2 linked regions of the Drosophila melanogaster genome follow. The protein of the gene in region 1 interacts with the protein of each later gene in a pairwise test. Each region holds a gene or a part of one and is shown in the gene's direction. Other genes may lie near its edges. The genes, in order: CG5070 and CG9192.

Region 1 (15,474 bases):
GTGGCGGTGATGCGGCTCCACAGCATATCCGAAACGCCCTCGCCTCGCAGGCTGTCCAAGTACAGCCACAGATTCTGGAGTGGCCATTTGCCACCATGGATGGAATTGTACTCTTGCTAGATATTAGAGTAAAACATTTATAAAGCAAATGTTAAGTGGGCGCAAAACGCTTTTTTTTTTATCAAACACACTTATTTGCAATGTTGACTTAGGACTTATGTACTCTTACGTACACGGACTTGGCTACTTACATTCGTTTTCTGGATGCTGACGTTCGTCAAGTGCATAAACACGTTATCAATCTCAGTTTCGTCGTACTTCTCGGTGCAAAAACGGCAGAAACCCTCCTTATAGAGATAAGCCTTGAGCGGATTGAATGTGGTCACAAGGACGAAGAGTCGCAGGTCGAATTTCTTGCCGCCGATCAGCAGTGGATTGTCGATGTACTTGGAAATGACGCAGGTGTCCCGGTTGATTTGCGGATAGAAGGTGCGCGCATCGTATGCGAATTTTTTCAGTTTGGACAACTTGTTGACCAGATAGATACCTACACCCTGGGACTTGCTGCATGGCTTCACTATCCACGTGCTGGCCGGATTGCGATGGAAGACCTCGACGAACATTTGGTAATCGGAGGGGAGGACAAAGGTCATGGGTATGATGTCCAGGTGCTTGTAACGGGTACCGCCTATGCCCAGTTTCGTATCCGGTGGATGGCTTTGAGCCAACGGATCGCCACGTCGCTCCAGATCTTTGCGATAGCGCTTGATGTTCTTGATTAGCAAATCCTTGCGCGACAGCTCAATGGAGTTCGGGAAGTGGTTAATGACTCTGCGGTGAGATCTTAGATGGTTAGACAAAAAGTTGCTAACCACTACTTACTGATCTGATCGCATGCGATATGGATGATCGATGCCGAAGATGTAGCGACAATTCTGGGTGCACGCCCAATAGAAGTTCCATTCGCCATTAAAGGAGGGCACCTGTAGCCAACCTCTTTTCTGGAAATTGCTGACCAGCGCAGACTTGTCCCAATCTGTGCTGTAGTAAATGCCGTTTCGGGATTTCGGTGGTCTCAGTCGATTCCGGATGTAATGCAGACCATTGATGGGCTGGGTGATTAACTTGACCTCAGGCAGGTCATCGTCACTAGTGCAACTGCCGCCGCATTTCTGGCGAAGATTCCTCAGAGGACTGGTCTGTCTTCGCGTGCTCATTTGGGTGGTTGTATTTTAGATACTGCCCCTCTTTATGCTGATAACTGAGAATTTTGCCTAATTTTGAAGCGATCGTACTTCAGTTGCTGACAATTTAATTATGGCCTGGCTGATGCCCCCGCGTTGGCATCTAGTAAGCCCATAACCTTTCAAGAATAGGACCTTGGGTTCCAGAGAGCATACTTATTTCCCAGCTGTATGGTCAATGGTTTACAATATTAATTCACTTGTTCCCACAACTGATGAAAAAAATCTGACTGTTTTCCGGCAACAGATCCGCTTGCATAATCCCCGGGAAGAAAACGAAAGTGCTAATTCCCTTGAAGCTGCAATGTTTGCCCAAAAATTGCGTTATATTCTTGGATTCTAGCTAAAAGCAAACCTTCTGCGAAACCACAAGATCGCAAAGAGTGAAAAATCTGACTTTGACACAAATATTTGTGACACTAGTTCACCTGCCATCGGAACAGGGGGCCCTCCAAAACCCATTGAGTAATTTCACACATTGCGGGTTTTGGTACAGAACAATCGCGCACTATTGTCGAGCAATTCGACTTGGCTGGGTATAAAGTCGATGGTATGGTCACCAGAGTTCATCAGTCGACGCGGCAAAGTCAAGAGTGGATTTTGTGGATTAGCAGGAACACCGAATCGAAGATATACACATTACATCACCATGAAGTTCTACCTGGGATTGGCGGCAGTAGTAGTTGCGATGGTTTCCCTAGCGAAGCCGGGAGAAGCCACCTTTGGCAAGCTTAATCTTCTTCTGGGCGGAGCCACTACGTCTGGCTATGGATCTGGATATGGCGGCGGCTATGGTTCTGGCTACGGCTATGGATCTGGCTATGGATCAGGATATGGCGCCGGCTATGGATACGCTCCCGAGAACGTGGTGAAGGTGATCAAGGTATCGGTGGTGCCAGGAGGTGGAATCGGAGGAGGATATGGCGGAAGCTATGGTGGAGGATATGGCGGCGGTTACACTGGCGGCTATGGCGGTGGCTATTCCAGCGGCTTTGTGGGCGCTGCGCCTGCCATATCCACCTCCGCCGTGGTTACACCGGTGGTCACATCGGTGTCCACCCCGGTTGCCACTCCTGTCCTGGCCGGTGGAGCCGGCTATGTTGGCGGATTCGGAGGCGCTTTGGGCGGAGGATTGGGTGGCTATGGAAGCTCCTTCGGCGGTGGTGCTGCCCTTCCCGCCTCCTACGGCTATGGCGCTGGCTATGGCGCTGGCGGCGGCTTTGGACTGGGATTCGGTGCACCACCACCACCACTTGGCTTGGCTGGAGGACTCTGCTAGAGAACGACGAAGCCACAACGTCAAGTGGTTATTTTTTTTTGATAATTTTAAACAACGATTTGTAATTAAAAATTAACGATTTGTAATAAATTGTATAAACGAAGAGAATAGTGTTTGCTTTTTTGAGCTCACCAAGAGTAAATCTTTTAATAATACTATACATAATGAATATTTTGTTTGTTATAAATATTTATAAACATAATAGTTCGTTTTAAGCTCATAAACCTATGCAACTCAATAAATGAGCAGCAAATATGTGGAAGAAATAGAATACAATCAGTGATTTTGTCTGCCCAAAAGTGTGCTAAATAAAATGACATTAAACAAACCCCTCCAAGTTCTATACTCTATACATATACAGATCTATAAGCCGCGATGTAACTTTTTGCTTTTGCAATTTACTGCTTGACAATTACAAAATAAAAGAGTTCGCACCCATTTGAAGAGCCACCACCCAAAAAATGTATTGGCCCACCCAATCCTAGTGACCTTCGGTTTGGGCCTCTGAATGAAAACGAGAGTTGAGTGCTGTTTACGCACTCAGTTAGCCGGCTTTAACCCTTTCCGCCCCCCCAAAGCTTCTCTTTGCCCATCGAACTGGAGATCGTGAGCCCAAGAAAACTGTTAATGGTAATCAAGTGCCAAAAACCAAAAGCAAAGCCAAAGTCAAAGTCAAGTCACAAGAGCCAAGCCCAAAAAAAAAAAATATAATGTTCGACCGAGAATGCTGTATGCCACATGGGTGCAAATTGGTTGAGCTGGACCAGCTCCATCTTCATTTCCATCTCCAACTCTAGCCACATATGTCGCAGTCACTTCAACTAAAATGTAAATGGTAATGTGTAAATTGGCAATGATTTAATATTTGCAATGCTAAGAAATTTGAAGATAAAATAGAAATGAAATAAAATTAGTCAAGTAGAAAACACAGCAAGAACCTGAAAGCTTTAATACTTTTAAGCTGGTTAACATTCATCTTAGTTAATGTTAAAAATTTTAAATATAAATTCTTATATACATACATAAGTAATTCGTTTACTACATCCAATTGGGTTTAGCAACTATCTTAAAATGTTATGCTTGTTTTATTTTTCGCTTGTGATTGTCTGAAACTTTTGTAAAAATACAAAAAGTATAAACTTCAGAATTAGTTGCTTATGCTGCAAAATTGCCTAAAATTCCACGCATCTTTCCATAAAAATGAATTTTACGATACTCTCGTGCTACCAAAAAAAAACCAGTTGTCGAATTATGGGAACAGAAAATTTCGCCAGATGGAACAAACATACATATTTGGAGGGTTCTTGTCTATTTTTTTTTTTGGTGACCCAATTTGCATATCTGTCTAGATCAATAGAAAAAATACAAAGGTTCCAAAAAAGCGACATTTACATATATGTAATATTTGATCTGAGTTGGGAGGGAATACGTCAGAAAACGTGGACGTGGACAGGTTTTCGGGTCGAAATCCGAGATGAGCGAAGATTTCTGGGCGTGCTTGGGTTATTTGGATTTTCGGATTTTGGCTATTTGGATATTTGGATATTGGCGAGGCTCCAACCCATTGAGCCCCTTGACTACGTGTAGTCATGCATACGATTTCGGTGGCTGAATGAGTGACAATGCCAATACGCTGGCCACGCACATGTGCCAGTGTGCACTGCGAGAAATAGTAAAGCGAATTTTCGAAAAAAAAAATAAATTAAATAATATGAATTATTTAACTAAAATTTTTTTGGTTTAAACTTATTCATTAAATTGCATTATTTGTACTACACAGGTAAGTATTTGGCTTACAAATCGAATTACAAACTTATAAATAAAAGGGTATGTATTTTCATTTACTGCTAGATTGAAATATGACTGCTATCGATCAGATATAATAAAATACTCTCTCAAATCAGCATGATTCAAATTGGGACAGTATATGAATCAGAAAATTAAAATGCAACTCGCATTGCATGGTAGAACTGGTGGAATTTCCCAAACGTTTGTTCACATTCTATAGAAAGAGAAATAATAAATTGCACTTTTAGGCACAAAAATATTTGAATATTAAATTCATATTAATATGGATCCAATTAGATGAAGGGATATTACCTTCATCTAATTGGATCCATATTAATATGAATTTCTAGTTTAAGCTGCGTTTCAGATCATATCACGTTAACAGCTCCAAATATTTCCCTCAGTGCTAATTGGGGAATTACCCGAACCTTTTGCGAATCCGTAACGCTCTTGGGCCGTAGATTTATTCAACTATTTTGTGCCGTGCCGGTAGATGCGAGAAAATATCTCACTTGATGGTTAAGTAGTTGAGGTGACATATGAACAGACAGCCAGACAGCCGGTGGCTCAGGGCCCCGCCCAGATTTGGAATACATTTCGACCGGCCGACTCGTCTTGGGTTGTATTGGCTTGTCTTGTCTCTTTGGCCCATAAGTAACCATTTATGAATTAAGCAAACATCTGTGTTCGGGGCATCTCATCTCGTTGACTGGAGGGAGCATAACATAGTTTAGAACTACACAAACGCACACGGCTGTTGGCCGGCTATAAATTAGTGCCTCGCCTCGATTTGGGACATCAGTTGAGTTTCGTTCAGGTTGCCGGCAGCATCAGTAGCACCACTAGCATCACCAGTATCAACATGAAGCTGTACGTTTGCGTTTCGCTGGCCCTTTTGGCCCTTTCGGCACCAGTTCCTTCCGATGCCCTGTTGGGCGCCAAATTGGCCCTGCTCAAGGCCATTGGCGGCGGTCTGGGTGGCGGCAGCTCCGGCGGCGGTGGCTACTCCACCGGCAGTGGTGGCTATGGAGGCGGCTATGGCAGCGGTGGATACTCCGGCGGCTACAATCAGGGATATTACAACCAGCCCAGCAGACCGGTGTACAACTCCGAATACGGCAGTTCCTCATCCTCTTCCGCCAGCAGCAGCAGCAGCTATGGAGGCAGCTATGGCGGTGGTTATGGCGGCGGCTACGGTGGTGGCGAGCAGGTCATCAAGGTCATCAAGGTGGTGGAGCAGCCCTCTTACTCTTACGGACGGTCCTCTGGCTATGGTGGCAACTATGGAGGATACTCGTCCAGTGCCTCGTCCAGCGCCAGCGCCAACTCATACTCCGCTCCCTCTGTGAGCTACTCTGCTCCAGCTCCCGCTGTGACCTATTCCGCTCCTGCACCCGCTGTGAGCTACTCTGCCCCAGCTCCCGCTGTGACCTACTCCGCTCCTGCTCCTGCCCCAGCTGTGACCTACTCTGCTCCAGCTCCGGTGGTGCGCGTTCAGGCCGCTCCAGCTGTGACCTACTCCGCTCCTGCTCCTGCTCCAGCTGTGACCTACTCCGCTCCTGCTCCTGCTCCAGCTGTGACCTACTCCGCTCCTGCCCCCGCTCCTGTGGTGCGAGTACAGGCTGCTCCCGCTGTTACCTACTCCGCTCCCGCTCCCGCTGTTACCTACTCCGCTCCCGCTCCCGCTGTGACCTACTCCGGTCCCGCTCCTGCTGTAACCTACTCCGCTCCTGCTCCAGTTCCAGTGGTGCGTTACTCAGCCCCAGCTCCAGCTCCCATCAGCTACGCCCCTGCTCCCGTGTCCTACGCCCCGCAGCCACAGAGCCAACAGGTGGTGAAGACCATCAAGCTGATCGTCGATGAGGATCGTGCACCCGCCCAGGTTTACGGACCACCAGCGGTGGAGTCCAGCTACTCCAGTGCTTCCTCCTCCGCTGCCGCTTCCGCTGGTGGATACAACGGTGGCTACAACGGTGGATACAACGGTGGCTACAACGGTGGCTACAATGGCGGTTCCAATAGCGGCTTCTCAGGTGGATTCAATGGCGGCTGGAAGCGTGGCGGTATCTTTGAGAAGCTGGTGGGCTGCTAGGTGCTCATGTAACCATAACTCAAAGCCACTCAAGGACTCCAAAATCTAACCTAACCTAACCGTACTCAACTATTTTTTTTCTAGTTCTAAAACGAATACCTTTATTTTTTTGTTCGATCGATGTGTACATAAAATAAATCAATATACCCGATATCAGTTCTTTATAACTTTATACTCTTATGTAATCGCCAATACCTCAGTCAAATTCGTCTGTCTGTTAGCTTATATGTATGTAGATGCATATATCTTTTTTTTTGGGATTTTTTAGGGTTCATTGTGTTATTGATTCTTAGCCAAATTAACACCAAGTTGCTAACTCCCAACGAATCGGTTGCGATTCATATTCCAATTCCGGATCTGAAGAGATCGCGGAGAGGGCCCTGAGAACAAGGTTAAGATCGAGGGACAGAAAGATTCTGGTTTATAGGGTTCTGATTTGCATTTGAATATAGTATGTGCTTGGGGGTTTTTTTCTAATAAACAGAAAAAATGTTAATCAAATTGCTAAATTGTGTGGGAGATGTTTATATACATTTAAAAAAATCATATACCTTTGATATGCCTGCTTTAAAATTTTTTAGAATCTTTTAGGCTTGCATTAAAATGAATTAAGCTCTACATATAAACAATGATGGACTAAATCAAACTATATTTCATATTAATTGAATAATTGAATCAAAGTATCTATGAAAAATTCTAATAGATTCCACGATCTTTATCGGCTAAGTGTCATGCGATTTGAGGTGCAGTCATCCAAAATCGTCACCGATGGGCGTTCATCCAAGACCAAGAACATCCGTTCGCCGGCGCATATAAAAGCTGTGATCCCCTCGAAGAATCGGCCAAACAAAATGCAGGTGCTTAATGTGCAATTGTTTATTTGGGCAATAGTTTTTGCGGCTTTAGTACGTGGTCATGCTGTGGAGAAGGAGCAGCCGGCGAGCCACGGTGCGTATGAGCGACGCTATTTGATGTACTTCCCTTATTTGTGTTTTTATTATATCTGCAGCTTATGGACCACCCATACACATCAGCTCAGGTGTACTCCAGCTAGCTCCGGATACGGAACAACCCCATCTGCTGCTGGTGCCCAGCTCGTACTCCATGTCACTGGGAAATCCCTGGCCGCATTACTATGTGGACACCTTGACCGCATCGCATTTGCCACATTCAGTGATTCCATCGATTCCATCGATACCTTCGATACCTTCGATCCACGAACCCCGCATCGTGGTCAATGATAATGTGGACTTTTCGCAACTCAAATTGCCCCAGCATCAAGTTGTCCACTCCCACGGCCGCTAAATGGGTTCATTGCGAAACAATTTATAAACTATCATAAATAACTACTTTTCGGCGGTCTTATTACTTTAAGTTAAGTTTTTTTTTGTTTGTTTTCAATTTATTATTCAATAAAATTGCTATAAAATATATTGGTTTTTAAGGTTGACGAATGCATGGACAATATTTATATGTGTGCCAAAAACACAATTTTTAAATATGTAACATTTTTAAACATGCAGATTTTGTAATTAATTAAAATCCAGGACATCTTTTTAACTTATTTAAATTTTCATAAATACTTGACCATATTTATTTATAGGTTGTGCCCCCAAGAGAGCTTTTCAATTCAATTTAACTTACATTTATTTTAATAATCGTTAAAAAAAAAACACTTTTATAATAATATAATCTTTGAGCATTTTGATAGGTCTTGTGTGCGACTATCACAGTCTTAGTAGAGATGTTCCAGCTGGTGGTGCTCCGCCAGGTGGTGGTCGTGCTCCGCCTGGTGCTCCACCTGCTGTTCGAGTGCCTGGTGCTGGATGTGGTGCAGTTCGTGCTCATCCCGATCCTTGAACTCGTACAGGGTGCTGTAGCTGAAGGCGCCCTTGCCATGATCGATGCCGGGCACAGCCTTGTGGTCCTCGTAGTGGGAGTGCAACTCGCTGGCCTCGGCGTACTCCTCGCCGGCATCGCTGCTGCCGTAATCTGACGGGAAGCTCTCCTCGCCCAGGTGATCGCCGAGGGAGCCCAAGTGATCCGCCTCCGCGGAGGCTCCGAATTCGTGCGAAGATGAGCTGAAGTCCAGCTTGGACAAGGCCTCGCCGCCAGTCAGACCGCCGGCGTAGTGGCCCAAAAGTCCCGCCGAATGGACCACTGCATTGGAGGACACATCATCCCCCAAAGGATAACATTGGATGCCTAGCAGCAGCTGACCCAGAAGGATCATCAGTTTCAGGCGATAGGTGAACATGGTTGGATGTGGTAGAAGTGTTTTAACCGACGCGGCGAAATGTTTCGAGTCAACTAATTTACTGCTACCAACTGCATTGGATTTTATATGCTCGGAGCACTCACATTCGACCGCAAATACATGCCGCATTTTCCTGCATTTTCCGTCGACTTTTGCACACAGTCTTTTGTTTTGTTTGGCTAAAAGCGAAAAACACAGAAAAAAAAAAATGTTGCAACGGACATCTGCCTGCTGGCCGCTCGTTCGGCTGGAGCTGATAATTTGCTGCACTTACTCCGCATTACGTCGACGTCTAAGTGGCGGGGCCATTGAAAAGCCTGTTGCAATGGTGCGTATACGTAATAATTTTGGTCTTCTCAATTATTTTTTGGCTTTTTGGCCATTAGGCCCGTTCTCGGTATATGGACCATATTGCGTCATCTGTGGCATCCCTGTGGGCCTTAACCCTCCGCCTATTTGCACTTAAGGCGGAAGCTCGCTAGATTTTTGGCACAGGCCAACTAATTGGGTTTATCAACAGCAAATAGTGGAAGTAGAATGGCAAATATAAAGAGTCATTCACATATACGAGTATGTGAGTTGAAGGTGTATATTTATCGGGCCAAACAATGCAGTGAGATGTGTCCATTGTGCAAAGTGGCCAAAAAGTGCACTTAACTCATTGAGAAACTGTTTGGATAGGTACTTTTATATTTGATAAATATAAAATAGTCAAAGATGTAGAGTACAAACTTATTTGAAACATATTTCGCAAATTTATTAAATCACGAAAAGGATTTAAATACATTGCCAAAAATATTCTCTAAGAACAGCATCCGTTTATCAAGTCTTTTATTTTATATATTTCTCTCTTAACTTATCATCAGCGAGTCTTACATAAATCTATAACTCAAACTAACTCCAAATTATAGTCTAATGGATATAGAGCAATCTGAATTGATTTCGATTTCATGAGTCTCTCTACTGCAATTAAAAGCACAAGAAGCCAGCAGAGCGAGAAGTCCGCGCTCGATCGCCAGTAGTTTTTAAAAAAACCCACAGCTCCATGCGTCTGACATACTCACCAATATTCCCATTCCCAACAAGATATGGGTGCTATATACTCCATATATGGAGCACGAGTGCCTGGAAGATTGCAAAAGGTGGAAAAGCGAAACAAAACCGTTACCGATGTACATATAAACATTTGCCGTCAATTCAGCGCGCTATGTGCGAATAAATTTCCAAAAACTAAGAAAATCGGTTTGTAGCGAAGTTCGGCTGCTCTCATTAAATGAATAATAATATATGAATCAGTAAAAAAAGTCAAGAAAATATCAATCAACAAATAATACTAGTAACAAAACTTTATCGAAAGACATCTGAGAATATAAGCTGAAAAAAGCCCAGGAAGTAGAGAGAATATTATATTTTGAAAACTATAAATATTAAATGAAACAACTGATAAATATTTATTTTATCACAATAATTAAAAAATTAATTTTTTAAATGGTTAGTTGCTTCTATGGTATATTATACTATCCCATTAGGATTGACATTTATTGGGTATTTTCTTTGGGTGTAGCTCGGCATTTCTTCGAAGTCGGCCAGTGTGAATAATTGGGCAGTATTAATCTGTGAATCCACCATCCAAATGGCCAACTGGAAGCACTCGCATTTGGGCTATTGGCGCTTCTGATTGCCGCTGTTTATTCCATGTTGCTGGTTGCTAGTTGCTGGTTAATAGTTGCTAGTTTCTGGCGGGTTGCGTGCCGGCAACATCAACGAACAGCAGCAGCAACACCACCAGTCGGGCTCACAAATTACCAATGTAATAGCACCGCTTGTTTTGTGTTTAATTTTGATACCCCTTAGTCTTTGAGAAAGGGGGTATACTAGTTTCGTTAGAAAGTATGAAACAGGTAGACGAAAGTTTTTCGACCATGGATACGTGTTTTCCTCGAACTATTTCATAGTTGAGCCACTCGAATACCTCTTGTCATAATTTTGTATTTTTTGCTTTTTGTTGATTGTGGGGGCGGTGAGTAATTGGGAGCGGTGCAATGTGGTTATTAGGTGGCTCACTTTTTGGCAGTCGATGCAACATTTCCTAACGCAAAATTTTTGCGAGGAAATTTTGCGATTGCAACCTGGATTTTGCAAGACCAAGTAGTTCGTGAGGCTCGGACACGTGGAAGGTGGCCAATATCGTGAATTCGTGTCTTAGAATAAAAAGTTTTAGCTCGGAGAGTGATAAATTTTGTTTGGAATGAATGAAAAGAAATGTATATATATGTATATATATTTATATATATATTTATCTCACTTAGCCTTCGTATAAAAGGCCAGCCATGTGTAGGTGTTTTTACAGTACCTTCCGGATTACCATGTCTTCTTCGATTGCAGTGGTGCTGGTGGTGGTGCTGATTGGGATTTCTGAGTCCATTAAGACTGATTCTCTGATGATGACCTCTTCTTTAACTCCAGAGATTTCGAAGTCTGATAAATTAAAACTAATCGTGTCGCAAAATGCGGAAAGTTCAAAGGATACAGATGCCATCGAAACTGACATCTCAAACGAACATGATCCACGTGATGCCTTAAAGGATTCTAGTTCGCCGGATGCGGATGTTTTAAGGAATAAGACAACTGAAGGCTTAATTTCTTTGAATAATAAAGCCGAGAACACAATGACAGGATTGGATGATTCTGAAAGTCTTAAGTTGGCACGGCCAGCGAGTTCATATCAGGAAGCGCTGCTCAATCGCCTACAGGATCAGTTGAATCAGTTCGTTGTTGGCTTGCCCCTGGACTTGGGCTTCTCCACCTTGAACTATATATGCAGCACCATTGTGGACCTCGGAGTGGTGAGGTCCAAGCTAATACCGGATATGTCGCGTATGAGTTTTCTGCTTCGATCGAGTGATGATTGTCAGAATACCAGTATTCCACTGACGCAGGCGGAGCAGTTATGGAACACTACCGGATTTTATCAGGATCGACCCACTGTCTTGTTCATCACCGGCTGGACAACGAGCATTAACAATTCCAATAGTGGTCCCGTGGCAAAAGCTTATCTTTGTCGCAATGATACCAATGTTTTGGTAAGTCGGTATTAAACCTATTCATCTACAGGCATAAAAAGTTTCATTAAATATAAAAACATACTGATAGAATAAAAGAGAGAGATATTTATCTTTAAAAAAGTTAACCTCATATACATACAATTTACCTTGAGTATATCACTTTCAAGTCATTACAAATACACCTCTATTTAGATTCTAGATGCTGCGAACTTCATAGACACCCTGTATACATGGTCTGCCCTGAACACAGAGGTTATTGGAGATTATCTGGCCAAGGCGCTCCTCCGGCTGAATACGAGCTATGTGACCAAACAGTTCCATTTGGTGGGTCACAGCTTGGGCGCCCAAATAGCCGGTTCAGCGGGCAGAAACTATCGACGATTGTCTGGGGGACAAATCCTGAAGAGAATCACCGGATTGGATCCGGCTAACCCATGTTTTTACGATGGCAATGAGCTGGAGGGTCTGCGGAGTGGCGATGCCCGATTTGTAGACATTATCCACACCAATCCCGGCATGTTTGGCACATCGAAGCGGGCCGGCGATGCTGACTTCTTTGTCCAGGGACGGATTCCCTTCAAGCCGGGATGCGAGAGCCTTGACCCCATTAGCTGTTCGCATCAGAGAGCCGTGGATTACTGGACGGAAACGGTGTATCCGTCGAATGGGAATGACTTCCTGGCCAAGCGATGTAAGCGCTATTCGGAACTCCTTCTCGGAAACTATTGCAAGAACACGAATACCGTGATGGGCTATGCCGCCAAGGCCACGGATCTGGGCCTGTTCTACGTGGGCGCCAATCCAGAGGAGCCCTATGGCCAAAATGCCAATCTGCAGAGCTACACAAACTCCGACACAAAATGTGGATCTTGTGCATCATGAATATTCGTACATGTATTCTTATAGTAGTATTATTAAAAACGAAACGCAATAAAAAACTGTTATCCGCAGCAAAGTCTTATGTTATATTGTTAAGATGTTGATGTTACATAATCTGTACCTTTTTACAACGCCTATATCAACCAAAGTAATCTAATATTATTCGTAAACGCTGAGAGATTTTACCTGATAATTTCAAGGACAAGTCCCAGTTGAGCCCCCGCCCCCTCCCTCTTCCGGAGAATTTAGAGCTCCGTGATTTGTGTAAGAAATCGCCGAAAGCTGATGTCAACGCCAAGTTAATTCTTTTGTGACGTCTTTTTGTTTGGGGCACACTAAAAATTGTCCAGGGCACGTTGACGGAATGACAATGGCTTGGAGATTGGGAGCCGTAATGGGGGAATACGGAATGGGAAATAAGTGGTGAGCAATGGGTCCGCATTAATATGGCCATTAATATGGCCCTGTTGTCGTAACCGGAGGCACTATTTGATGTTAAGTACGTGAGAATTGACCTTACACTGCAACATTACATACTAGAGCTTTAAATTTCAAAAATGAGCAGATAAGAAACAAAAAAGAGATATCAGAATTTAATAAAAGGTTTGCGAAACAAAAACCCACAAGTGGGATTGTTGAAATTTGTTTATATAGATACTTTAGGATAAATAAAAATGTAATTAAATAATATTTAAATTATTTAACTCATTTATTATGTATATATTTTTTTATTATTTATATACATAAGTTTATTCTAAATATATGATTTACCAGTGTATTTTTTGATACACTACTGATGGCACGGGCCATTGTCGGTAGAGTGAGGAATTGTGTAAACTGAAAGATCGTTTATGCCATTATCAGTTAAAAACTGCACGTGGCGATGGTGGGGATCAAGAAAATTTTGGGGAATTCCAAGACCATTTGCCATTTGTTTGCTGAGATTAAAACATAATCTGTTTTTGGTGTATGAGAACAATTGAATTAGAGGTCAAATTTTGTAGCTGATAATCGCTGTAATAGGGTGTTTAACCGGTCGACTGGATGCCCCGTTGACTGCATAACAGGGCGTTATCTTTCAGTGCTAATGCCGTCCGATTTGCTTTAGTTTTCGATTAGAATTAAAATAAATGCAGATGAGATCGGGACATGCGACTGCAGTTTGCTCCGGGCCGGATTTCTCGATTTCTCGCCGAGATGTGGCGAAGGCGACGAATCGAAATGGAAATGGAAACTAATTAAGTGACAAGTGCACCTTATCTGATCGGAACACACATCGATATGGTCACAGTTGACTGGAATCATATATATATATATATATACATATAAGGCAATGTGTTTGTCGCGCGAGCCCCTCCCTCTGGAAGCTATAAAAACAATTGTGATTTGGCTTCCGGCATTCAGTTCTCGTTGAGTTTGTGTCCAGGATGGGACGAGTTCCGGCAAAGATGCACACGCTCCTCGCGCTCCTCCTCCAGCTTCTGGTGGCCTCCATCCACGCTATCGAGTGGTCGCTTCCGGATGTGATCAATTCCATCGGAAATGTGGGCACCAGCATCGTGGATCCCAGTCTTCTGCCCACACCCCAAGGACTCCTCGAAGGCAGCAAGCAGCTCATCGCGGGATATCCATTCGAGTTCGTCTCCAACTCCCTGAACGTCATTTGTGAGTATTTATTTAAGTTCTAGAAAACACATAATTTTTAAATGCAGAATTTTTAGATTAATAAACATTACCTATTAAATAAACAATTTTATATAGTCATTCTAAAACAAATTATCTTAAAAAATTAAAACTGCTTAAAATAAATTACTTCAAAAATATTTTCAGGCTCCCAGGCGCTGGCTTCAAACAAAATCAAGTCGAAATACTCGCCGGATATCAATAAAATGAACTTCCAACTGCAAACGGCGTGTGAAAAGAAAAACTTCCCACTTACAAGTCCGGAGTCCATGTGGAAGAGTCCGCTTTTCGATGTCAAGAAGAAGGTCGTCATTCTGGCCACCGGATGGACCACCACCGTGAATGGTTCCGATACCATCGAAGTCTTCTCAAAGGCCTATAATTGCCGTGGGGATGTCAACTTTGTGGTAAGTACAATCTATATTAATTAAGGTTGAAATATGCCACTTAAACCAATAAATCAATAAATAAGTATAGAGGAAACAAGTTTGTCACAGAAACATTTATTGTTATTAAGTTTTCCTACTGATAAGGTTCAGATCAGATTAAATACACTCACAAGCAGGTTCAACTCGTTAGCTCCGGATTTAATGTAAATGTTTTACATATTTTTTTTTCACATTGCGCATTCAAATTAATGCTAATATTAAAACCACGGGCTTTAAAGTTCTCATTATACTTTGAATATCCTAACACCTACTGGCATAATACACAGCTTATGCATATATGTACATATATCTAGGGTAATTTGTTAAAAATATGTCATTACAGGCGGTGGATGCTGCTCGTTTCGTTGATACCCTGTACACCTGGTCGGCTTTCAATACGGAGGAGATTGGCGAGAACATCGCCCTCGGATTGGTGAAGCTTCTCGATCTGGTGCCGGTGGAGAATATCCACTTGATTGGCCATAGCCTGGGCGCCCACATTGTGGGTTCGGCGGGACGGCACCTGCAACACCTGACCAATCAGACGATACCCAGGATTACTGGATTGGATCCGGCCAAGCCGTGCTTCAACGAGGGTGAAGCCCTCTCTGGTCTGATGCGCGGAGATGCCCACTTCGTCGATGTGATCCATAGCAATCCCGGGGTGCTGGGCAAGCGGGATCCGGTGGGCGATGTGGACTTCTATCCGGGCGGAATGAGCCCCCTTGCGGCGGGCTGTTTCTCGGTAACCTGTGCCCA
Region 2 (15,882 bases), on another chromosome or scaffold:
TCTAACCAACAATCTGCGTCCGCCCAAGTCACTTTACATCGAGGTGCGCTGCATGGAGGACTATGGGAAGTTCGAGCTGGACGACGGCGAGGTGATCCACCTGAAGAAGAACAGCCAGCACTATCTGCCCCGAGCTCAGGTGGAGTCTCTCGTGAGGCAGGGCATTCTTCACCACATAGCCTAGTCGGGATTATTTGATAATAAGAGTTTACTATACATATTTAATGGTTTAATGTAGAACAAATAAAAGATAAAAAATTATTTAATTCAAATAATTTGAACATTCTGTAGTTTTCCAATACTTGTATTTTTCGATGTTGGTATTTTCAGGGTGCCGTGTTGCGGTCACACTATTTGCGCATTATTTTAAAATTGAACGGACAACTGAAGACGCTGCTTCTCTCTGTTCTCATTGGAAATAGTGCGAAAATTGGTTTTCCACGCCAGCCTTCTGTAAATAGTAGTTACAGTTATCAGCATTCGGCTCGGTGGAAGGTGAAGCACAAGGATTTCCAGGAATCAAACACACACACACACGCATACCGATACACGCGACAGGCGTCATTTTTTGGACTGTACGCGCTAAAACCACAATTAATTGTTTCAATTGATCAATATGGACATATCTGGTGGGAATACGTCGCGCCAGCCCCAAAAGAAGTCCAACCAAAACATCCAGGTGTATGTGCGCGTCAGGTGAGTTTGTATATGTAACCAAAACCCCTTAAAAAGATCTACATATATCTTCTATATCTTTTGTAGACCCCTTAATTCTCGGGAACGTTGCATCCGCTCGGCCGAAGTCGTGGATGTGGTCGGACCACGGGAAGTGGTCACCCGCCACACGCTGGACTCCAAGCTCACCAAGAAGTTCACCTTTGACCGCAGTTTTGGCCCCGAGTCCAAGCAGTGCGATGTCTACTCCGTCGTGGTGTCTCCGCTGATCGAGGAGGTCCTCAATGGCTATAACTGCACGGTGTTTGCTTATGGCCAGACGGGCAACAATCTGCGTCCGCCCAAGTCACTTTACATCGAGGTGCGCTGCATGGAGGACTATGGGAAGTTCGAGCTGGACGACGGCGAGGTGATCCACCTGAAGAAGAACAGCCAGCACTATCTGCCCCGAGCTCAGGTGGAGTCTCTCGTGAGGCAGGGCATTCTTCACCACATAGCCTAGTCGGGATTATTTGATAATAAGAGTTTACTATACATATTTAATGGTTTAATGTAGAACAAATAAAAGATAAAAAATTATTTAATTCAAATAATTTGAACATTCTGTAGTTTTCCAATACTTGTATTTTTCGATGTTGGTATTTTCAGGGTGCCGTGTTGCGGTCACACTATTTGCGCATTATTTTAAAATTGAACGGACAACTGAAGACGCTGCTTCTCTCTGTTCTCATTGGAAATAGTGCGAAAATTGGTTTTCCACGCCAGCCTTCTGTAAATAGTAGTTACAGTTATCAGCATTCGGCTCGGTGGAAGGTGAAGCACAAGGATTTCCAGGAATCAAACACACACACACACGCATACCGATACACGCGACAGGCGTCATTTTTTGGACTGTACGCGCTAAAACCACAATTAATTGTTTCAATTGATCAATATGGACATATCTGGTGGGAATACGTCGCGCCAGCCCCAAAAGAAGTCCAACCAAAACATCCAGGTGTATGTGCGCGTCAGGTGAGTTTGTATATGTAACCAAAACCCCTTAAAAAGATCTACATATATCTTCTATATCTTTTGTAGACCCCTTAATTCTCGGGAACGTTGCATCCGCTCGGCCGAAGTCGTGGATGTGGTCGGACCACGGGAAGTGGTCACCCGCCACACGCTGGACTCCAAGCTCACCAAGAAGTTCACCTTTGACCGCAGTTTTGGCCCCGAGTCCAAGCAGTGCGATGTCTACTCCGTCGTGGTGTCTCCGCTGATCGAGGAGGTCCTCAATGGCTATAACTGCACGGTGTTTGCTTATGGCCAGACGGGCACAGGGAAGACCCACACCATGGTGGGCAACGAGACTGCCGAACTGAAATCCTCCTGGGAAGATGTGAGTGAACAAAAATTCAAATCAAAACCATATCAACCATATCAGCGTAGGGCCCTACATTCTCACTTTCGCAGTTTAACCAAACAAAAAAGGTCTTTGCCATTCTTAGCCATCTGGCTCAAGGCCATCGAAACCAGTTTTTCTTTTCTAAGAATCGCTAATCTAACCTTTTCCAATTTGTCTTCCCGCTTAGGACTCTGACATTGGCATCATACCGCGCGCTCTGAGTCACCTTTTCGATGAGCTGCGCATGATGGAGGTGGAGTACACTATGCGCATTTCCTACTTGGAACTGTACAATGAGGAGCTGTGCGATCTACTGTCCACCGATGACACCACCAAGATACGCATTTTCGATGACAGCACCAAGAAGGGATCGGTGATTATCCAGGGCCTGGAGGAGATACCAGTGCACAGCAAGGATGATGTGTACAAGCTGCTGGAGAAGGGAAAGGAGCGTCGCAAAACAGCCACTACGCTGATGAATGCACAGTCCTCACGCTCCCACACTGTATTTTCTATAGTTGTGCACATCAGGGAGAATGGCATCGAAGGAGAGGACATGCTGAAAATCGGTAAACTGAATCTGGTGGATCTGGCGGGCAGTGAAAATGTTTCCAAGGCTGGGAATGAAAAGGGAATACGTGTGCGGGAAACAGTAAACATCAATCAGAGCCTCTTGACTCTCGGTAGAGTAATTACCGCTTTGGTCGATCGCGCTCCTCACGTTCCATATCGTGAATCAAAGCTGACTAGACTGCTGCAAGAATCTCTGGGTGGCAGGACCAAGACCTCCATCATAGCCACCATATCGCCGGGCCACAAGGACATCGAGGAGACCCTGAGCACTTTAGAGTACGCTCATCGCGCCAAGAACATTCAAAACAAGCCCGAAGTCAATCAGAAGCTGACCAAAAAGACTGTGCTCAAGGAATACACCGAAGAAATCGACAAGCTTAAAAGAGATCTTATGGCGGCCAGGGACAAGAATGGCATCTATTTGGCCGAGGAAACCTACGGGGAGATAACTTTGAAGTTAGAATCCCAGAACCGCGAGCTTAACGAGAAAATGCTGCTGCTCAAGGCTTTGAAGGACGAACTCCAGAACAAGGAGAAGATCTTCAGTGAGGTGAGCATGAGTCTTGTGGAGAAAACGCAGGAGCTGAAAAAGACCGAGGAGAACCTACTGAACACGAAGGGTACTTTGCTCCTGACCAAGAAAGTGCTGACCAAGACCAAGCGACGATACAAGGAAAAAAAGGAGTTGGTGGCCTCGCATATGAAAACGGAGCAGGTTTTGACCACACAGGCTCAGGAGATCCTAGCCGCTGCTGATCTGGCCACTGATGATACTCATCAGCTGCACGGAACCATCGAAAGAAGGCGTGAGTTGGATGAGAAGATTCGCCGATCTTGCGATCAGTTCAAAGATCGTATGCAGGATAATTTGGAAATGATCGGTGGCAGCCTGAACTTGTATCAGGATCAGCAGGCAGCCCTCAAGGAGCAGCTAAGCCAGGAAATGGGTAAGCTATCTACAGAAATCAATTTGTATATTATTGTACATAAGTAAAATTTTATAAATCTCCAGTAAACTCGAGCTATGTGAGCCAACGCCTTGCACTAAATTCCAGCAAAAGCATCGAAATGCTTAAGGAGATGTGTGCCCAATCGCTACAGGATCAGACCAACCTCCATAATAAGTTAATAGGAGAAGTCATGAAGATCAGCGATCAGCACTCTCAGGCATTTGTCGCCAAGCTGATGGAGCAGATGCAGCAGCAACAGCTTTTGATGAGCAAAGAAATTCAGACTAACCTGCAGGTGATCGAGGAAAACAACCAGCGGCACAAAGCCATGCTGGACTCTATGCAGGAAAAGTTCGCCACCATAATTGACAGCAGCTTACAGTCTGTGGAAGAACATGCGAAGCAAATGCACAAGAAGTTGGAGCAGCTCGGGGCAATGAGTTTGCCAGATGCGGAGGAACTGCAGAATCTTCAAGAGGAGTTGGCGAATGAACGAGCTCTGGCGCAGCAGGAGGATGCTCTCCTTGAGTCCATGATGATGCAGATGGAACAGATCAAGAACTTGCGGTCCAAAAATAGCATCAGCATGTCCGTACATCTTAATAAGATGGAGGAGAGTCGACTGACGAGAAATCATCGCATCGATGATATTAAGTCTGGTATCCAAGACTACCAAAAGTTGGGCATAGAAGCTTCCCAATCCGCACAAGCGGAGCTCACCAGCCAAATGGAGGCGGGAATGCTTTGTCTGGACCAAGGCGTTGCCAACTGTTCGATGCTTCAGGTGCACATGAAGAATCTCAACCAGAAATACGAAAAGGAAACAAATGAGAATGTTGGTTCCGTTCGAGTGCACCACAATCAGGTGGAAATTATTTGCCAAGAGAGCAAGCAGCAGCTTGAGGCGGTGCAGGAGAAAACCGAAGTTAACTTGGAACAGATGGTGGATGCAAGGCAGCAGCTTATCACCGAGGACAGACAGCGATTCATAGGCCATGCCACTGTAGCCACTGATCTTGTCCAAGAGTCGAACCGGCAGTTCTCGGAGCATGCTGAACACCAACGGCAGCAGCTGCAAATTTGCGAGCAAGAGCTTGTACGCTTCCAACAGTCGGAGTTGAAAACGTACGCCCCAACTGGGACCACGCCCTCCAAAAGGGATTTCGTTTATCCGCGCACCCTCGTGGCCACGTCGCCACATCAGGAAATTGTGAGGCGCTATCGCCAAGAGCTGGACTGGTCAGATCTGGACACCACGGCCACTATAGATGAGGTAACCTAAAATCCTTCAACCTTGTATGTTGAAAAGCACCAACTTTTATGTTTCCAATCCGTAGTGCAGCGAGGGTGAGCATGACGTCTCCATGCATTCCGTCCAGGAGCTGTCCGAAACTGAAACCATAATGAACTCCACGCCCATTGAGCCCGTGGATGGTGTCACCGTGAAGCGTGGGTGCGGCACCACCCGCAATTCCAATTCGAACGCCCTAAAGCCACCCGTAGCTACTGGTGGAAAACGCAGCAGCTCGTTGTCACGTTCCCTGACACCCAGTAAAACGTCACCTCGAGGTTCTCCCGCCTTCGTCAGGGTAAGTCAAGTGCAAGTCCGCTAATGACTTAACAAATAAAGGGTGGGGATATATTATCATTGCTTTTATTTTCAATATTTTTAGCACAACAAAGAAAACGTAGCCTGATTGCATTCGATGACAGTAGTAGTCTCCCCTTCCCAGTAACCCGTTTATGTTAGTGGATTTCGGATCGCTGTGTTTGTTTGGCTCTTCTGGATATTCATTTTATCTGTATATCAATCTTTGGAATTTCGTACATTTATTATTTAAATAAACTCAGTATGCTATGTAAAGTTAAGGAAATCTTTAGTTCAAGTGCAGGTTTAAGATATATCAGAAGGTATTCTTAAACTTCGATACTATTTTTTAGGGAAGAAGTGAATTTGGTTTTTTAATGATGTCATGCCTTCCAAGGAAGCGCTTTATAATTAATATAATCTTAACTATTTTACTTATCATATTCTCGTTTGTGAATTTAAATTTGTTGAAGTTTTTTTTCATAAAACATTTAAACATATTAAATATCCATCTTTCAAAGTGTGTTCCTTATAATTAGAGCATCCAACATATTTAGGAAAAAACAGATGTCATAACTATCTATCTATCTATTACTAATCCTCATCCTGCTCGTCGTCATCATCCTTAAGAATGCCCAGACGGCGGGCTACCTCCTTCACATTGGCAATGAACTCCTCCTGGACCAGGTTAAAACTCATGGCCAACAAGGCAATGCCGAAAAGAAGGTACAGCGAGCAATAGGCGATGGACTGCTCCGACTCGTCCTTGACTCCTTTCGCGGGGACAAAGTCACCAAATCCTGTAATGCAAAAGCAGATGAAAAGAGTGCGCAAGGAATTGGGATAAACACAAACCGATTGTTGTCAGTGTAATGAAGCAAAAGTAGGCGGAATCCAAGAAGGACCAGTTCTCCCAGTACGCAAAAAGAACAGCTCCGCCAAGGATGTAGCTCACTACCAGAAAGACGCATAACCAAATGGGGACAGGTCGATCCTTGGGCAGCAGATCTCCATAGTCCCCATACTCATCCCCGTACATAGAGTCATCGTCGTCGTAATCGTAGCTGGGTCGCCGACGGATTTGCCGCTGGACCGGAAATCCCATTGGTGACATGATTCTCGGGGAAGGGGGCAAACGTTCAGCCCGCTCTCTTCGGCGATTTCTTTTTGGTTCTCGACTCCTTGAGTGGTGGCGCTCAGGCGGATAATCCTCGTAGTTATTGTCTCCGTAAAGGGATCCCTCATCGAAGCTCTCTTCCACGTAGTCCTCGTAGCGACCCTGGGAGTGACCACGCCTATCCCGTCGATGGTCCCGTCCCGGCGGTGGAGCATCATAGTCGGGAAGTTCGAGATGGTTGCCATAGCGAGATGATTGCCTGCCCAGACTTCCAGCTCGTCTATCATGCTGTTGGCGATAGGAGCTCTGCGGTGGCGGCTGTGGAGATCGTTCCCGTTCTCTGTCCTTCTGGCGTTGCCTTTGGTGAGCAGATCTGGGCATGGATTGACTCCTTGGAGCTGCTTGTCTTCTGTTGCCCCCGAAGTCATCTAAAGCATACCTATTTGGTATAATTGGTGTTTTCCTCACCACGTCCTCGTCGACGTCTTCGTAATGTGAAGAAACGTGCCTGGGATCCACGGACTTGGCCCTACTTCTCCCAGGTGCCGAGTGAAGACGATGCAGTTCTCTGGACGCTTTGGAAGATTCCTGATTGTGTGGCGATCGAACCGATCGCACACTGGCAGCTCTTTTCGCAGGAGGTTGCATGTCACCGAAGTCCTCAATGGATCCAGCATCCAAGTGGGATCGAGAGTAGCGCTCCCTTTCTACCGTGTGTCTGTCCCTCATCCGATCCCGTTGTCTTTGCCGGCTACTGTAGCGGTTGGATCTGTTCAGGGTCTGAGTTTCGTACCCATCTCCGTAAATGGTGTGACGCTGGCGAGGATCGTGATGCAAATGCTGCTGCTGCTGCTGACGACGATTGCGTCCGCCTCCACTGCTCCGATGTCCGAACTCGCGGTCATCGTAGCCCCGGCCCATGGTGCGCAGGTCGGGATCTGAATAGGCATGACCCATGGAAGGACCCAGACCCGAGTCATTCCCAGACCGTTGGGTCATCTTCATGGAGCGCCGGAACGAGGGCGGCGGCTGGGATCGGGCATGGCGCTGAGAGCGCATCGATCTCTGCCGGGATCGGGCATTCCTCGGACGTTTGGCCGTGCGGGTGCACACATAGCAGCATATTCTCCAGTACAGAAACCTATATTGGAATATATGTATGAAAACATACTCATTTAGTTCTCAGCTCATCGATGTCAACTCACCGAAATGATGTGGCCATGACATCGCCAATGTTGGACAAGCAGATGAGCATCAGCGGAATGCCCACAATGGCGTAGAAAATCGTTGTCACCTTGCCCCAATCCGTACGCGGCGATATGTGACCATAGCCTGTCCAGAGAATGACAAGGAACACATAATTACTCTTTCGCAGATAGGTAAGATTGATTTTGAGTCACCTTTCACCTTCAACCTCGTGACCGCAAAGTTCTTGAAATACTAATGAATCTAAGACCCGCTAAGGCCCAATCCCCAATCCATATGTACTTCTTTTTGTTCATGCCAAGCCCATTATCGCTTCGAAATAGCAAACATGGCATTTCAAGTCTGCCGCTTTTGGCCTTTACGGAAGTGTGCAAATTCGTAGATAGCATTCTGTGCCCCTCTTCGCGGGGTTCTATCTGATGGGCGTCGGTCACTAAACCCATTTGTGTGCTAGCCGTAAATCCATATCGGGGAAAAGTGCAGACGAAAAGCGTAAAACTAAGCTCCCATCATCAACAGCCAGAGCTAATAAACTGATTTATACCAAATACTTCCACTCGAAAGCCGAAAAGTTGAATGCTCTAAGTGGGTTAAAGTGAAAAAGGTTTCTGTATACTTTTAAAGTAGGAGAGTTTATAGAGTTCTTGGGGTTTGCTTAAGGCCTTCGATTGAAAACCTTCCATGCACCACTTCCCCTTTTATGAGTAATCACTAATCACCAACACCCCCTGTGTGTTAGGGTATACTAATAATGAGAAATTCCCATCGTTAAAATCTAAAAATCTGAAATGCCAGAAAAGATAATCACGATCGGTCAGTGGCGTTTGACCTTGCTGTTGTTTTGACCACAAACAATTGGATGGCAGCAATCCACTTTTGGTTTCATTTGACACGCTCCACACACCCTCGCTCCCTTTGAAAGCCATCACCACCCGAATGAACCCATTTTTAGAGGTCAACCACGTGCTGGCTGCTCACCTGACTGTGTCCGAGCTGAATCTTTGACTTGTGACTCCCGCCCTGCAAAGGAAGCAAGCATATGTTTTCCAACTCATGGAAATTCCCAGGAATAAGCTTTTAGGTCGATCGGTGGTGGTCAATTACCGTGATTTATGCGATTTCAACGTGATCGCTGTGTGGACAAAACCAATTGTCCGACTCATCCGCTTGCCTCATTGGTTCCTGGGCGGATTGCGGTCTGGTCGCGCTTCAGGTGAATCAACGTGGGCCAAGACTTGGGCCACAGATCTCTGAAGATTTCTGTCTGGCACGATCGTTGATTCATTGGTCGGGCAGCCGCCGAATGCGAATACCTGCGGCTGCCCTCGTCGCTTGACTGAGTTTGTGCGTCGTCATCGCCGCTGATGTCTCTGGCGGTTGTATTTGTTTTTTGGTTCTCGGGTGCGGTTATATAAGTAGTGTGTGCCGGTCGCATTTTCGAACTATTCTGTTGCGGGAGCTTGCCGCGATCAAGCGCAAAAATCGGGTCAGTGTGTAATCGAACAAAGCGTGCCAATCATGCCAAGCTATTGCCTCATCATCGTCCTATGCCTTCTTGGATCAGTGGCGGCTAAGTCTTCGGATGGAGATCGAGATCAGTGGGTCTGGAGGTCCTACAATCGCAGGGAGCGCTCTTTTCGGGACATCAATCGCAGTTCCCCCATAAGGAACTCGTACGACGAAAAGCTGAGGCGGGAGCCCACGACTCGAAGACCTTTTCCGGGCGAACCGGAGAATGATGAGATAGAGGACTATGCCGATGTGGAGCCCACCAGGTCATCGGACACTCCCAACGTAGGCACCCGTCAGTTTAATCCATACGGTGGTCAGACCAATGCCGGACAGTTCGGAGGACTTGGAGGCTATAACGGAAACCCCGGAGTGCTAGTCGGACCTGGCGGACCCACCGGAATCATAGGGAGACCGCAGCTATACCCCACTCCCTATCAGCCAGGCTATGGTGGATTCTCTGGAGCTCAAAATGGCATTAGTGGATATCCAGGCGGATACGGAGGAGTAGGACAGGGACTTCCCGGAGCTGGATTCCCCGGAGCCAGCGTGGGTGGTGGGTTTAACAACTTCCCCAGTAATGGACTTGGCCTCAACCAATTTCCTGGCAATGGGCAATACCCTTACGGCTCCTATCCAGGTGGCGACTTCGGTGGAAGCCAATTCGCGGGCGCAGGTGCCCAGTTCCCAGGATTGGGACAGTACCCAGCAAACCAACAGTTCGGTGGACCTCAGTACACCGAGGGCTATGGTCTGGCAGGAGGACTGGGCTTAGGTCAACTTGGAGTAGGCAACGGTGGACTCGGATACGGTGGAAGTTTTCCACCTCTAGGAGGAGGCTTCGGCTATGACGAGAAATCGCCAGCTGTGGCCGATGGTAAGAGTGCTAAGAGTGTGGCAGCGTCACCCAGAAAAGTGAATGATAAGCTCAGTAAGAAGGTCTAGAGCTTCGTGTTTTAGAAGTGGAAGGTGTTATGTTAAAGATATGGAACTGAAGCTATTACTTTCCCACTCAACCCTCCTTTTTCCCTTAGGCTGAGTTGGAAGTAGTCACCTTAGTGTAGGCATAGTTTACGTATAGACTAAGCAAATAAATTCCCATGTTTACTCACACATGACTTTGAAGAACTCAATCCATAAGCTTAAAAAAAACATACTCACCTATGGTCGTTATCACAATAATCGAGTAGAACAGGGATCCGGCAAAGGTCCACTGGGACTTGCGCAGATCCTCGTCGCCATCCCAGCCGTCGGCCTTGATGGCCGTAAGGATTTGCTTTTCAAAATTGGCCAGGTGCTTGCTGACATTGGCCATCCAATCGCTTTCCCTTAGGACCACTGCGTCGTCGGACAGTAGCCAGATATTCTCCGTGAGATTAACGCGAAGATTCTGTATGTCTCGCTTCACCTGCATGGGGATTTTGGATTTTTAGCATTTGAGACCTTCCAGCAAAATCACCCACTCACCTCTAGTTCGTGGGGTCGTTCGAGATGCTGGAAGAGGTAGGCACCGCCCACGCAATAGGAAACCACGAGAAGCACGAGCAGCACATGGGACACAATGCAGGTGAGCACCTTCCACGAGAAGCAGATGGCAGCTACACAGCGTCCGCGTTGCGGCTTCGCTGGCTCCAACATGTGCGCCGGCAGAGATTGGGCCCGCCTACCCGACATGGTCACCCTCCTCTGGCCTCCTCCTTCCTTTGGCTAATTTGCCGCTCGGTTGGCTGTGAATTATGAAAGGCAAAATAAACTAAATAAAGGATGGGACGAAAATGTTTGGAGGTCGGCCTGGCAAATACCCTTAGAAATTGTAAATTGTTGTTGAGATGAAGAGTTGTTTGAGAGTGCCTCTCCGAAGTAATATATTGTAGTAACCTTAATGGGAATGCTACATAATGTTTAAAATTATGCCTGCGAATAAACACGCCTTCTATGGCGTTCGTTTCAGAAATCGTTGGTAATCTCCAAAGGAGCAATTACCGAGAAGCCAAAAGGTAAACCAGACAAAGCTCCACGGCACATATGTTTATTTGTCCAAATATTTATTTATTTGGGTTGCTGGGGCAAGGCCGAAGAGCCAAGGGGATCAGGTGCGGAAGACTCGACTCCATGAGACTATTTTGGGTGCCGCCGCCCGGCGGGGCATTCATCTCATCGTCAAATCTCGTGCCACGCCTGTCGAGAACTCTGCTGGTTCCTCTTGCTTATAGATGCGGACTACATAACATGTCCGAGCAATTATGAACTTCGATTTCATGTGGGCAATTAGCGCTGGTGAATTATGGGCCCATCGGGATTGGGCATTGGACTGCTGTTAATGATGATTACCGATCGCTGATCGCCTTCTGATTCGCACTGAGGAAAACTTTTCAGTTTTCCACATTAAGTTCCATGCTGTATATTTTGCCCGCACTCTCCCGTCTTCCGTCTAACAATCCGTTTCCGATTCTATATCCGATGGGATCCGTACAGAGAAAAGAAGCACCGATCCGTACGAGCCACAAATTCTTACTGCGGATCGCAGCTACAGATGGACTCTCCACGGATCGCTCGGGAAATTGGGTTTATTTTTGGTCTAACGCGAAGTTCTCTTGTCTTCCGTAGATATATAGTTTTGGAAAAACTTTTATTTTCGGCTTTTCTCTGGTCGTCGTTTGTTTTGTATTGTTTGGCTCTCTCAGTCGTCGCACTTTGTGTTTTGATTATGGTGTCTATCTGATTGAAGGAATCAATTAATCTGCTGCTACAGGTGGTCTAACTGATAAGCAATGCATGGACTTAATCTACAATTTTTAAATGAAAATCATAAACTCGTTAACGTGTAATTGAATATAAAATTAACTATCTTTATTACATGCTGTGCTAAGTTTTCGGCTTGTTTTTTATGCTCTTAGCGCTATGCTTATCACAAATCGACTGGTGTACAACCATTACCTTTGTTACCTTAGATAAGAGCTGCAGCTAAGACTATTTTAAGCAATTTAGCAGGGTTAGGAGGGCTTGACACTTCAGTCCACATTCAATTGCCGGAAGGAGCCCTGCAGACCAAAAAGACTCTCGAAGTCAACAGGCTGACCCACTCGGAGGCTTTCATCGGTTCCGTAGTTCTTCTCCTCCTCCCAGTAATTCCGGTAGGCTAGAATACGCTGCTCCCACTGCTGCAGCAGCTCCGGAATCGATCCGTTCTCCCCTCCGTATTCCACTGGCAAATACTGTTTGGGAATCTGATTGTAGAGTGCCTCCCATTTGCTTCCATGAACGTAGAGCTGGCGGTGTAAGAGAACTTCAATTACCTTCCAACTTTGCTTGGTGCAGTTGGGGTTACTTACGCGTCCTTGCTGCTTCTTAGACATCATGGGCTTGATCATATTGAAGATGGTGTCAAATCCGTTGGGCGTATTAATGAAATGGATTCCCTGCGGTCGCAGGGGCAGGGCCTCCTCCTGAAAAACGGTCATCTTCTTGGCGAAGGACGGTGACATCTGCAGGAAGTGCCCGGTGGTGACATTGGACAGATCCAGAATGGATATTAAACCATTCACAATGGCCACATCGTCCTCGTCGAGCATAATCTGCTGCATGAGACCAGCAGCTCGATTCACCTCCTGGAGGGTGTATTTGCTGGGATCATAGCAGGCCATGCGCAGCAGAGCCAATCGCGGGCCATTATCGTTTAGAGGACGTGGCAGAATAACTATGGTGCTGGAGAAAGATTAATGAAGTGGGTTAGACAAAACATTTCTGGGATTTGCATCTCTCCAGCTCACCCCAATCGGAATATCTCCAGTGCTTTGTCCACATCGACATTATGACCCAAATAAAACTCTGGGTACTTGGTGCGTAGTGTGTAGAACCTGTCGATCTTCGACTTGGTCCTTTCCAAACTGAACTTGCAGCCGCGCAGGAAGTTCACCAAGAACTGGTCATCTGTGCGGGCTTTCAAATGGGGTTGCTGCTTAATCCAATCCCTCAGGGCGGCGATGTCGTCATCCAACTTATTAGGCACCTCATTCAGGTTCTCAATCGCAGTCTTTTGGAGCTCGGGACTCAGTGGTCGGATGGCCGGCATCTTGTTCCTCTCTTCTTGGCGGTCGATGAACGAGTGTTGATTTTTCACCCAGTTAGTTTTGCGATTCGACCCGAAATCGATAAGGCTGAATCGACTGAGAGCTGATAGCCACACATTGAAGTAGTCGCCAAGAAGAGTGAGCTTATCGAAAACATTTATTTTAGGTTTATGGCCCAGGTAAGTAAGTATACAGGTATTTTAGCCGATTCAGTCGATGACCAACTGGCGAAAAGAGCCATCCACGCCAAAGTGACTCTCGTCTGGGTTCAGCACTGAGGCTTCCTCGCGCAACTTGTCATGGGCTCCGAAATGCTGACAGTCCTCAAAGTAGCTGCGATAGCTACAGAGCTTTGCCTCCATCTGGTCGGTGATATCCTTCATGGTGCCCTTTGAGCCACCGTACTCCTCAGGAAGATAGTGCTTAGGAACTCGCTCGAAAATAGCTTCCGGATCGGAGCTAACGGAAACCTAAAAGAAAGGGAGTTGTAAAGATATTCATATTCCTAGAACTGCACTGTCCTACCCTCTCCTTGATTTTTCCCGGAAACCATCCAAGCAGTGATTTAAAACCCGTCTCGAATGCCTTGGGCACATTGATGAAATGGATTCCCTTCTGACGCGTTGGCATAGCCTCGTCCGCATAGGCCGAGAATTTGCTGAGAAGTTGGGGTTGGAGGGCAAACAGATTTGCACCCGTCACTCCACTCATGTCCATGATCTCCAGGTAGCCACTGACGGAGGCATTGTCATCCTCCAGCATCATGATCTCACCGAACATGGAGCCCACACGTATGATGTCCTGGAACTTGAATTTATTGATGTCGTAGGAGCCAGCTCGAATAATAGTCACGGCTGGTCCAGTATCCTCCTCATCGAGGGGAATGCGCAAGATCACTCTGCAGGGATAGAAATATTTGGAGTTTAGAGAACGCAAAGTGGATTTACATACCCCAGTCGAATAATTTCCAACACCTGGGCATTGTCAACCAATCGCTGATCGTTGAAAACCTCCGGAATGACCGCTTGCAGGCTATAGAATCGATCAATCTTCTGCTTGGCCTTCTCCAGACTAAACTTCGATCCCCTAAGAAAACTAAGCAGGAACTGATCCTCGAGACAGGCGCAGAGATGGGGCTGCTTCTGTAGCCATTCTTTCAGAGCAGCAATGTCCGATTCCACACGACTTGGCACTTCGTTCAGCTCTTCGATGGCCACTTTTTGCAGACCCGGCGGCAGAGGCCTTATGGAATTGGGAGAACTTCCACTCATTTTGGCAGCGCTATCAGTTGCAGACTAACCAAATGCACTTCCAACTGGTCAACACTTTAAATACTTAAAGCGTAAAGCGATAAGATCCGACTAATCTCATAAGTGATTAGCAGGCAAGAAAACGTATTACCTTGACTATTAAGTATTTGATTTGCCGATTTATGTACTCGGCTGCCATTAGCCAAAAGAAGGGTTTGATTTTAGTTTAAGAACTTTATTCAATGGAAAATAATCAATTAGGCTAGACATGAACTACGATACTAAATCTTACTGGCTAGATACCCGGTTGAAGCTGCCACCGTAACTAACCTAGTCTGGGCTGCAGTTATCTCGAGATGTTGCATAAGAAACGTGTTTATAATGCATGGAAATACCATTAAGTGTTCTATAAATACGGTGATCTGATGGGCTGTTGTAACCTAGGAGTGGGTTGCTATTGCACAGGAGCTGGAGAGTCTCTGGAATCTCTAAGAGTATCTTGTGGAGTATCGCTTAGTAGAGGCCGGATGGCAGATCCGTGACCTTTGACATGGACCCCTGGGTGTGGGATCGAGTGCGGAGGGTTGGACCCTGAATCTGCCCACCGCTGGAATTGGCGAAGCCAGAGTGATCGTGCATCCTCATCGCCAGGTTACTGGTGAAGTATATCTGCTGATTGCTGCGTGACTTCTCCCTTCCGATGGCTGCTTCGTTGAGGGCTTCCGGATGCGCTGAGGCGAAGGCCGCCTCCAGGCGCTCCACGTTCTTGGTGACTCTCCTGGCCTGCAGGGCAGCCGAGATGTCTGGCTTGGGATACTTCTGAGGTGTGTTCATGCCGGTCATGAAGAAGACCCCGTTAAACTGCTGGGCTGGCGGAGTCGGAGGCGGTGGTGCCGGTGCTTTGACCTTCACCGGGTGATGGGGAATTGTCACGGGCGCCGCATCCTGGACACTTTTCCGCAGGGCCTGCATTGTGGGATCGTGATCGTCATGCCGCGCATTCATAATCACGTCCAGCAACTCTCGATTTGTGCTCGCATTGTACGCCGTGGCCGTGGCATTCGCCTCTGGCATGTCCGGCGTTGGTGATTCCATTTGGTAGGCAGCAGGCTGATCTGTCTCTGGAGCATCGTAGTCCACTTCGTCGAAGAAGCTTTGCATGGCCGCTAGTCGCTCAGCGGCGTCGGGATCTGCTGGTTGGTGTAGAACCATTCCATAGTCCGATCCCTCCTGATCGGAGCAATCGGTGCGGGGCACCAGATGTGCCAAGGACCGAGATTTTCTGGGAGGCTGTGGTACGATGTTAACCGGCACAATTTCCTTCTCGACCGGACGATGGTGGCGCATCTTTGGCCGTGTTACACTGCTCGTCTGGCTGCTGATCTGCTTTTCGGCCTCACTTACAATGTTGTCCAGCTCCTCGATGACATCCTCAATGGTAGCGGCATCGTCCTCATCCTCCTCGACAACCTTTCGCGATGGCTTCGCCTTGGAGGGAAGTATCAGAATGGGCACTGGACTCAGGGATGCACCCGTCTCCGAACTGCTGATGCCCTC

What was found.
Region 2: the proteins of CG5070 (region 1) and CG9192 interact in a two-hybrid assay, tested with the Drosophila melanogaster proteins (one large-scale study listed by BioGRID).

Annotation. Positions count from the first base shown.
Region 1 is NC_004354.4:17,201,302-17,216,775, forward strand, and holds CG5070 (uncharacterized protein), read left to right. Parts: upstream 1-1,810; 5' UTR 1,811-1,893; coding exon 1,894-2,523; 3' UTR 2,524-2,624; downstream 2,625-15,474. Other genes in the region: TTLL1A (tubulin tyrosine ligase-like 1A), read right to left, coding at 1-116, 252-831, 883-1,217; CG32564 (uncharacterized protein), read left to right, coding at 5,174-6,403; CG32563 (uncharacterized protein), read left to right, coding at 7,135-7,351, 7,413-7,708; CG12995 (uncharacterized protein), read right to left, coding at 8,139-8,660; CG18258 (uncharacterized protein), read left to right, coding at 11,027-11,743, 11,918-12,607; CG5162 (uncharacterized protein), read left to right, coding at 14,032-14,269, 14,435-14,694, 15,059-15,474.
Region 2 is NT_037436.4:1,231,368-1,247,249, reverse strand, and holds CG9192 (uncharacterized protein), read left to right. Parts: upstream 1-8,930; 5' UTR 8,931-9,014; coding exon 9,015-9,950; 3' UTR 9,951-10,117; downstream 10,118-15,882. Other genes in the region: Psf1 (partner of Sld five 1), read left to right, coding at 1-184; CG32318 (uncharacterized protein), read left to right, coding at 617-696, 763-1,177; Klp61F (Kinesin-like protein at 61F), read left to right, coding at 1,610-1,689, 1,756-2,056, 2,250-3,582, 3,648-4,858, 4,923-5,174, 5,259-5,282; galene, read right to left, coding at 5,768-5,973, 6,029-7,431, 7,496-7,622, 10,167-10,413, 10,473-10,679; CG33966 (uncharacterized protein), read right to left, coding at 12,017-12,274, 12,338-12,710, 12,776-13,077; CG33965 (uncharacterized protein), read right to left, coding at 13,285-13,545, 13,601-13,973, 14,027-14,346; mwh (multiple wing hairs), read right to left, coding at 14,839-15,882.